Linked DNA regions of Oryzias latipes. The protein of the gene in region 1 interacts with the protein of each later gene in a pairwise test. Links are inferred from orthologs where the notes say so. Each region holds a gene or a part of one and is shown in the gene's direction. Other genes may lie near its edges.

The links. The genes of interacting proteins can lie anywhere in the genome.
Region 2: the proteins of homeobox protein Hox-A1a (region 1) and regulator of G-protein signaling 17 interact in binary tests that used the Homo sapiens proteins (3 or more experiments, as listed by UniProt). The two-hybrid records come from large-scale screens. The link is inferred for Oryzias latipes from reciprocal best matches to the Homo sapiens genes HOXA1 and RGS17.

Annotation. Positions count from the first base shown.
Region 1 is NC_019869.2:11,314,789-11,319,998, reverse strand, and holds homeobox protein Hox-A1a, read left to right. Parts: upstream 1-1,800; 5' UTR 1,801-2,276; coding exon 2,277-2,880; intron 2,881-3,284; coding exon 3,285-3,652; 3' UTR 3,653-4,329; downstream 4,330-5,210. UniProt on the Homo sapiens protein: Sequence-specific transcription factor. Regulates multiple developmental processes including brainstem, inner and outer ear, abducens nerve and cardiovascular development and morphogenesis as well as cognition and behavior.
Region 2 is NC_019865.2:27,315,359-27,319,998, reverse strand, and holds the end of regulator of G-protein signaling 17, read left to right. Parts: intron 1-636; coding exon 637-825; 3' UTR 826-4,007; downstream 4,008-4,640. UniProt on the Homo sapiens protein: Regulates G protein-coupled receptor signaling cascades, including signaling via muscarinic acetylcholine receptor CHRM2 and dopamine receptor DRD2.

The DNA of each region.
Region 1 (5,210 bases):
AGCGCGCCTTTTCTGTGCGCCTGACTTCAAACAAAGACCCAAGAAAAGCCTTGAAGCCCGGAGAAGCGCTTTTACACATGCAGGCAAGGCATGGTCCTATGCGCCCACTCACTGCAGAGGCAGCTGGGAAAACTGAGAGAAGGGAGGGAGGGGTGGGTGGGTGTGGGGAACTGACCCACAATGCGCCCCCCCTTTTTTGTTAGCAAGTTCTTCTGCACTGCAAAAAACTGAATCTTCAGAAAGTTCAAAGGTCCTCATTTCAAAAACAATTTTCCTGTTTTGTTGAAAGTTATTAATTAAGACAGTTTTTCTTACCTCAATGGCAGATTTCTTTGCTTATTAAAAGAAAAATTTTTAAATTTTAAGACTTTTCACTTATTTTCTAAGGGATCTGTTTTTGCAGCAAGTTTATTTCCCTACAAACCAAACTCACTTTATGTATCTCTTGGAAACTTGAAAAAAGAAAATGTTGTTTCTATTAACTCTGAATTATTTCAGAGACAAAAATCACCATGTTGTAATTCAACTTCATTTAACAGACCAGCAACATGTGGCACCGTGATACTGGTCTGGTTATGGTCTGGTCAGGGTAGCAGTTTGGAGAAAATAAGTCTCCAAACCGTTGTTACAGTTTTCAACAAAGTTAATCTTAAAACAAAACTTTAAAAGTCTAAAAAGTGGGAAAACTGCAAGTAGTTTTATGCAGAAAGGGATTTTTTAAGTTTTGCCCTCACACATTGGGAAAACGTATAAGGTTGCATAAACTAAAAACTTCAATTAAACTCAGAATCATCTTAGAAGTCTGTATCTATAGAAAACTACTGACCATGAAATGTTAATAAACATCAAGTCTGCTTGACCTCCTATAGCCTGTAGGGGCGCTCGTTCTTCCAAGTGACTCCCCTCTTTTGCCTCCCTCCCTTTTCTTCTCCTTCCTTTTCGAGAGGTTGGGGATCTGCCACCACTGCCCTAAGTAGCCCCCCCCCCCCCCCCCCCCCCAGACCTCTTCTCTTCACACTCATAGATTTCCCCATTACTTTTTGGTGCCATTAATATCTCCACGAGCTTTACGCGAAGCAGTGTAATCAGGAGCGCCAGGACAGACCTCATCCTGTTATTTTATTTGATCACCATTTATGCATAATGAAAACACGCAGAGGATTGCAGGCAAATGGACGACCCCGCGACCACGGGAGAAAGAAACACACTAATAACAACTCAATCTGAAGCCCTGTGTTGTCTTTGCCGTTTCATCATTCTTGACATTTATTTATTTGTACGCATTCTGCTTTTTTGCGCGTCATTTTACTGCGTCACCACAAGGGGCGAGCCGGGATGTGTCGGGGTAAAAAGTTCAGGCCGGGGTTGTCGTTTTTCACTGCCACATGCTGTGAAGTGACACGCTCAAAACAGATGTGCAGCGCCACGTCACTTTCTTGTGCATGCTAAAACAGATGCACAGAAAATGCAAAGCCCAAGAAGGCTTCTGTCAGTGGAAGAAAGTCGGAACCCCTCTTGCCTCTCCCTCACTGTCGCACTGTGACAATATTTGCAGAGAAAATCCCTTAATGTTCAAGCGTGAAACATTTCGCATTAGAATGGGACATTAATAGCCCACAGATAGCCTATGGCAGTGGCACACGCACTCTGAGCCATCCATCCATCTACAGGGAGGGTGACACGGTTATAGGCTATATGATATCGCGCCTATAAAGCGTGGAGGGCACGAACGTGCACGCGCTCCAACACACACGCATGCAGACAATGATCTCTCTGTGTTCCAAAAATACCGTACCTGGGGTCAAAGTGTTGGGCCGTCGTCATGTCAGGCTGCGGAGGGTGACTCGCTAATCTCTCCCTGTGGGAGAGCGGGCAGCGGGGGTTACGGTACAGCATGTCTGCAGCGTCCCGCTCCTCCTGCGACCCCGGAGCTGTCCACCGCCGTCTGACTCCCAGCTCATTGTTTGCTTGGCCCATACATTAGTGGCGGCGCGCGTCACCTTGATCGACGAGCGCTTGGAATTTAAATAGCCCCTCAAACACCAATCTGTCACCGGCTAAGTGGACGAGGACAAGTACCTTACTGGCTGACCCTGGCCCACGTGACAGCACCCGTTCATTGATATCACCCCACGCGCCCTCCTTCCCTTACTGATAAGAACTGAGTTAAGGTACAAGTTGGCAGGATCACTTAGGGTGAGAGTGGGGAGCGGCAAGACAGCAGAGGGGTGTCTGCAAAGAAGACAGTCCCTCGGTCAGGGCACAACAATGCTACAATGAGCAGCTTTTTAGACTATTCGGTGATGAGCGGAGAAAGTGGGTCGTGTTCGGTCAGAACCTTCCACTCGGACCACGGGATTACAAGTTTTCAGTCCTGCGGGGCTGCTGTCAACAACTGCGGGGCGGATGAGCACTTCATGTCAAACAGGACGTCTCCCGACAGCATCTCTCTTCATTCGGGGTCATACCAGTCTACTGCGGGCTCGCTTGGTCTCTCTTGCGGGGCCCATCCGGCCTGCAACTCCAACTATGGACCCCAAAGTTTCTGCGCCTCTTACAACCATTATACTCTCAACCAGGAAGTAGACTCAGCTGCATTTCCTCAGTGTGGCCCACTCATGTATGCAGGTAACATATCCTCATCCGTGGTCCCTCAGCATCGTCATGGTTACAGTGCCGCCCCCCTGGGTCAATTGCAGTATACCCACGTTGCCTATGGCGGCGGGCATGAGCAGACAGCCGCGTATCCTGTTGCCTCGAACCCCCTGTCCCCTCTGCACGCCGGACACCTGGAAGCTTGTTGTTCCCCTCTGTCCGAGGGAGCAGTGGCCGCGCAAACTTTCGACTGGATGAAAGTTAAGAGGAATCCACCAAAAACAGGTGTGTGCTATCTTGTTTTTGTGTGTGCATGGACGTATACGTAGTGTCTAAAACAAGCGGGTTAAATGATCCGAGCTTTGAGCTGAAGGGCGCCTACAACATGCTTCTTCACTGGACGCACTAATGTGTAAACGAGATTAATGAAAGATTAATAGCTAAAATGTTTGCTTCTGGAAAAAGTTTACATCTTTACATTCTCAGAAAATAATGTGCTCTAAAGTATATAATAAAACTTGTATATTTGTTATATTAAATATAAGAGGATAACTACTGATCGATGCGTAAAAGTTATCAGACGCTGCGTAAAAGTGAAGTTATGACGACATTGTTCCAGAGTTTACGTTCTGTTTGATGACAGAAAACCAACCAGTCTGTTTTTAAAGTGAAGAATTTATTGCCCACAGGGAGGTCTGGTGAATATGGATATTCTGGTCAGCCGAACACTGTTCGAACCAACTTCACCACCAAGCAGCTGACAGAGCTGGAGAAGGAGTTCCACTTCAACAAGTACCTGACTCGGGCTCGCCGTGTTGAAATCGCAGCTGCGCTGCAGCTGAATGAGACTCAGGTGAAAATTTGGTTCCAGAACCGGAGAATGAAGCAAAAGAAGCGCGAAAAAGAAGGACTCATGCCAGCTAAAGTTTCTACCTCAGACCAGGGAGAAAAAACAAACGATGCTGCGTCTGAGAAGTCAATCTCGGCTCCCTCCACCCCCTCCCCCTCCTCATCCACGGTGTCTTCCACAGGAGCGGATGCCTACAATTCAAACTGAGGACCAACTGCCCTCCTTTCCTCTCTGGGCCACAGCGTTCTGTATTTACCTAAGTTTACTTGTATTGAAGTTTTTGTTGTGTAGACATCCATAAATTGGAAAACACTAGGGATCCTGGACAATTGTGATTTCTGGAGTCAAGAACTGTTATATATTGTATTATGTATCTGTAAAAACAAAGGCGCTGCTGTCCAAACAAGCCCCATTGCGTTAAATTTGGCTCGAAATTTGCCAAACTTTGTTAGATGGTGTCACTTCTACCTGCCAATTGCTGCTATAATCAAAAATCTGCTGACAAATGAATACCTCAAAGGTGCCCAAGCTGTGCATTCCGATCACACGTGTGAACGCACTGTGCCATCACCAAGGCAACACACAATCAACGAGAATACCTCGTTTTTGAATGTTTAGTGAGTGAACTGTTATGGTTCCCCTGTTATTTATCTGTTTCAGGTGTCTGTGTGTCGACTGTTTGAATGTATTGTGAGATTTGCAAGCTGCCTTCACGTGTCATGACTGCAGTGGCGCTGAGTTTTATCAGTTGCGGAACAGGCCGTTCAAAGCTTTAGTGTTTCAGGCTTTGTATATATTCAATCCCGCGATGCACATGCAAACTGTTTTGTCCAGAGAGACGTTTACGGGTCAATCGTGTGCATTAAAGTCCGTCTCGCTCTGAATGTTTTCTTTCTTGTCACGTCTTTGGGGGAACATGTATTGGGATGTTGGGTTAGAATTTATGCACAATACCCACAAGATGTCTGCAGAAAAACGCACAAACTTTACGTGTCGGTTTTACGCATCAAGCCTGACAATGAATGCGGCTGTGCGCGCGGCCATCCCAAGGGTCAAAGGTATTGGCATAATAAAGGCATGTTTATCCGCGGGGAAGATGAGAGTGCGAGTGTCAGCAGCGACATTTGTGATGACAACCTTATCGAGCTCTCGGCTTATATTGAGGGGACAAAAAGAAACTCTATTGATTGAAACATCCAGGTTATGCCACTGACAAGGGTGGGAGCCCCACCACTCTCGTCTTCAACAACTCCACAAGTTCAACAAAAGTGCCACGATTTCCCCTAAACGACAAGATGAACTATGATAACTTTCAGCACGGGATGTCACAAACGGAGTGTTCACAGAACAACGTCCAAAGAAACAATTTACCTCAGATATTGGGCGGCAAAATAGTGGAAAAAATAGCAACAACAAAAACGTAGCACTGTGGGAACATGGTTGGAGTTTCCGGATGACTTTTTTTTTAAACTCCTGGTGTGCAGAGTGCGATTCCACCCCACCATAAAAGGGCAAAGAAACGACGAAAGAGCCTTGATTAATGTGCCACATTCAGCCTCACCTTGGATCCACCTGCAGGAGCTGCAGCATTTGAACTGCGGACACCCACTGAGGCTGCAGAGCGGGTCGCTCAGTCCTGTTCTGCAGCACGCTGCAAGACAAGAGTAAGTTACAGAACATTTATCTGAAATTGTTGGTTTTGTTTATTTCTAATCACTTATTTGAAGCCAAAGCTTGTTCTCTCAGGTTTAAAATAAGATTTCTA
Region 2 (4,640 bases), on another chromosome or scaffold:
TTTTCGGTTGTATCATTGCTGCTTTGAAATTTCCCACTACAGTTGAATGGAAGTGACTTTTTTTGATGCAAAATCATTTTCAGAATCCTTTCTGAATATATTAAAATATTGTGTTATTAGTGTTTTTGTTCTAAGGATTTAATTGTGTTTTGAATTTAAAAGATAATGTAATTAAACATTTATTAGTAAAAGCAGCAGGGTTTATATATATTTATAAAAAAATAAACGAAATAAATAAAAGATGATGTCCACATATCTGGACTTGTAATCCTTTATGGGGGCTTAAATCTACTTTTGCAACTTCAGAACTGCAACTTGAAGTTATGATTGAGGTTAACCGTACTTTTCCTCTAATGTATTCATGCCAACTGGTGTCATTTCAAGAACCTAACTGGATTTTTTTTTCAAAAAAAGATTTAAAAAAAAAGAAAGAGCAGAAGAGGAGTATATTTCAAAGTGCTTTTATTTTCTAACACAAATGCAAGAAAAGACATAAAATAAGATCAGATCAGTGGAGTTTATCAATTCACATTGAAATATATGAAATCCTCCTAACAAATGGTTTCAAATGAATGTGTGGAGGTCAAAAGGTCCAGCTTTTGCCCCCGTCCTCCTGACAAACGCGTTTCTCCACAGGTGAGCCTGGACGCCCGGGTGCGGGAGGTCATCAACAGGAAGATGCAGGACCCCACGCCTCACACGTTCGAGGACGCCCAGCTGCAGATCTACACGCTCATGCACAGGGATTCTTACCCGCGGTTCCTCTCCTCCAACATCTACAAGGCGCTCATTCACGGTGGCTCCCGCACCTCCTCGGAGTCTTAGTGCCACTCCTCCCTCCACCGTCCCGCAGGACTGCTGTCACAGCCTTTCATCTCTCCTCTCAAACACCTGCAGCCTTTTTCTACCACATTCGGATTTTCTTCAGAACCAGAATATCTCCGACTGCCACGGCTTTGCTTTGCTCTTTTTCAAGTTTTCCCTCCTTTTTTTCTTTCTTTTGCCTCTTTTAACCTGACACCCCGGTTTTTCTTTTTATCCATCTGTCTTAAAACGCCTGCTATAACACATCCCAAGCAGAACTCGGATCAGCGGAGCGGGTTTACACCGCCAGAAAATTCTGAACCAAACTGACTGAGTTTGCAGGATTCCGCCCCAAAAAAACAACACAACAACACAAAACTGCGATCCTCGTCAGAGCAGCACGTCCCACACCAAACAGGAGTTTATTTTTGTATTCAAACTTTAAAGGGTTTTTATGTAGAATGTATCACGCCGTGTTCTTTTTCTGTCTAATCCATGTTCTCCCTTCGGTTTTTTTTCCTGTTTCCTGCTTTTCTTTTCAATTTTCTACCACAGTCTTTACTGACGGAGGCAAAAAAAACAAACAATTTGGGATTTCTTTTTTCTCTTTTTCGTACGTTTGGGAGATGAGCGACAGAATCTGCTGCGTCTCACCAGGAGAGAGTTTCATCTGTGCCATAAACTTTTAGTGCATCTGAAAAATGCTGGTTTTCTGTTCACCCTGCGGTTGCGCTTTCTTCAGGACGGTCAAGGAAAGACGGCAATCGACGAGTCTCTCCCTGTTTCTGTCTCAGCTGGAGCCCCGGCTGCTCCCTCCGCCCGCCTCCACCGGCCCTCGCTGCCCTTCTTGCTCCCCTGCCGCCTCCCGTTTGCTCCTTTCACTTCTGTTGTCATCAAACGGACATAGGAAGGCTGCCGCTTCCTTCAAACTACTGATTTACGCAAAGACCTGATGTCTATTTTCTAACAGATTTCTCACTAAGGAACATGTTCCTTTTGTTTCTTTGGATTCTCCTGATCGCTCTCGTCCCTGGACCCCCCCCCCCCCTTTTTTTTCTTCTTTTTTTTTTTTTTTTTTTCGTCAGGAGGAGGGAGTTTCTGCTGCGACTATACTGAGTTCCAGCCAACATCACAGATGCTGCAATAAAACACTGGAGTCCAGAAACGCACCGACATGCACACACTTCAAGCACACGTGTGTGACTGTACTCACAGAGCGCGCTCTGGAAGGGCGCCAGGCGATCAGGGATTCCCGTAACAGGTGATGACGCTTACGACCCATCAGGCACAGTAACGGCAATCGGCCAATCGCACCGCAGAGGCTTGCTCCACGCTGACATTCAAACTGAGCATTGGAACAGGGACAGATGAGGGTTTAAATGAAGCCAACAGTTTGGTTGAGACCTCACTCAAACACCTTTGAATTCATGAGCCCCACTTGAAGGAAATGTCTCCAGTGTGCTCATCTTTGGGTGTCCTCTTGACTTCTGTTACTGACGCTTTGATGAGAAGCTATGTTCACACCAAGCGTGTTCTAGACCGTCGGTTTGGCCCAATGTGTTCACCCCAGAGCAGGGAGGGGCTTCTTCTTCTTCTACAGTTTATTAGCGCGTGTGCACCACCTACAGTCGGAAGAGGCTTGGTGCAAAATGTCAAAGCGGTGTAAACCTCGATCCAGTTCTTTTCTGATATATCAAAGACAATTTCCTTTTTATGATCAATTTCCAAATTGTTGGCACTTCCATGAATTATAGCGGACGTCATCCATACGTCACTACCAAATCCAAGTCCCTGATTGGTCAAAGTTCTACCTGGTTTAACTGCCAACGCGCGTTCAACGGCTGTGCATTTTGTGTGTAAAGCCCAAAAACAATCATAGAAACTTGCTATAGCACCTACATAGACTTTTCAACAAAGGTGGGGGCTTGAACGCATGTTGTTGAGGGCGGTGTGAATGTAGCTCCAGTCCTGCTGTCATCCGACACTCAGGCAAAACGACGGCGAAGCGCCTCGGCCTGAAAAGAAACAAGTCATTAGTCAGAGTGGTCCTGCAGCTGAGACGTCTCACTTTACGCTGCGTCTGTGTGAGCCTGCAGAGCGACAGGAGCAGACCTCTAACACTCCACACAGAACTCAGTGGTTCCCAAACAGACGGGCAGGTTTTTTTTTTTAAATGTTATCCTCATCGGGTTTCATTTGGGTTAGCTTTGCTTGATGAACATTTTTGTTCCATGAGTTCAGAGGACCTGACCCAACAGGACAGGCCCCAGCAACCCCATCACCCTGAAAGGGGGATAGAAAATATTAAACAAATATGGAAAAAAACTTTTCAAATTTGAAAAAAAAAATCTATAAATGTGAAAAAAAATCTGCCAGAGATGAAAAAAAGGTCCGTCCAGCAATTCTTATTTTTTAAAACAAAATTCTAGTAACTAAGACGTGTTTTCTCAAACTAATATTATTTTTCTATTGACAATTTTTCGTGAAAAATGAGTCTTTTTACTTTCTTAAGATTTGGTTTTTGCAGAGCATGTACTTCTCTCAAACATATATGTAATTTATTTTTGTTTGTTTACAACTGAGAATAAAAGTTTAATTTGTTCTTTTATAAAGATTAAAAATGCATTGCAATTGTAAAACAAAACAAAAAACTGATCAGTTTTCTGCAAGACTGACAGCCTTGAGTCTGCCTCTGAGAGTACAGTAACACCAACACCCACACACACACACACACACTCCAGGGTGGCGTACCTGGGCCCTGCTGCTGCTGACCTCTGCCTCTGTGACCTCTCACCTTTTGTCCTTGACACTGTCAGATGCTCCCGTGGACGCCTCCTCCTGATTGGCTGCAGGGATCCCCATGGCTGATCTGTGGTTGGTCTATTCGCTGAAGGAGGTGGGAGGAATTTCCAGATGCAAAAACAAAAAAAATAGGAACCAATGAAACACGACTTGACAAATATTTTCTAAAACATAATGAATATGTGAATTGGGAGGATTCCACCCAGTGCTTCATGGGAAATGTTGTTTGGCGAGAACAAATGTCTGTAGTTTAAATTAACAGAAAAAAAAAGATGCCTAATTCTTTACTGGACTTGTCACTCAGAATGCATTTATCTTAGTATTGTTAATGTTATTTATTTTATATTTTGTTGAAACTGTGATTTTAACTGTACATATATAAACAAAAACCCTTGACCATGCATTGGGAAGCAGCGTTGTCTGTTCAGTGTTGGGTCAGTTTACTCTTAAGCATGAACTCGATCTGTTGATGCTAAAATGTGGTCCATAAATTCAAAAAGAAGAAGAGAAAACGTCTGATGAAGCTGGTGGAGATGAGACGAAGAAATCAAGAACTTCTCTGTGAAGTATCGTCTTCAAAAACCAGGACAATATTCCGACACAAATAACCAGCGGACACCCACACAAGGTCAGTTTTACAAAAATTCATGAATTGGGAGGTTTTTATATTTATTTGATCTAAGAGCCCAAATATCCATCCATATGTTGCGTGAAGGGGACCAAACCGGAAGGTTCCACCACTCCAACACAGATTTTTTTTATTAGTATTTTGATTAAAAAACACTTTAAATAAAAAAATATAATCAGACTGGGACTTTAAAACAGAGTCCCGGTTTGCTTGCAAGTGAACCCTGATGTGGTTTGTTACAGTGTGAATTCAAATGGACCAAAAAATACAAAGAATTGACATACGTTCTGTGCATTTTCTAATAAGAAAAGAATGACTGTCTCGCAAATCCTTTGCTGCAGGAATATTCATGGAAGATTTTTATTACTAGACATACGGTGAGGTCAACAAGTATTTGATCACCCTG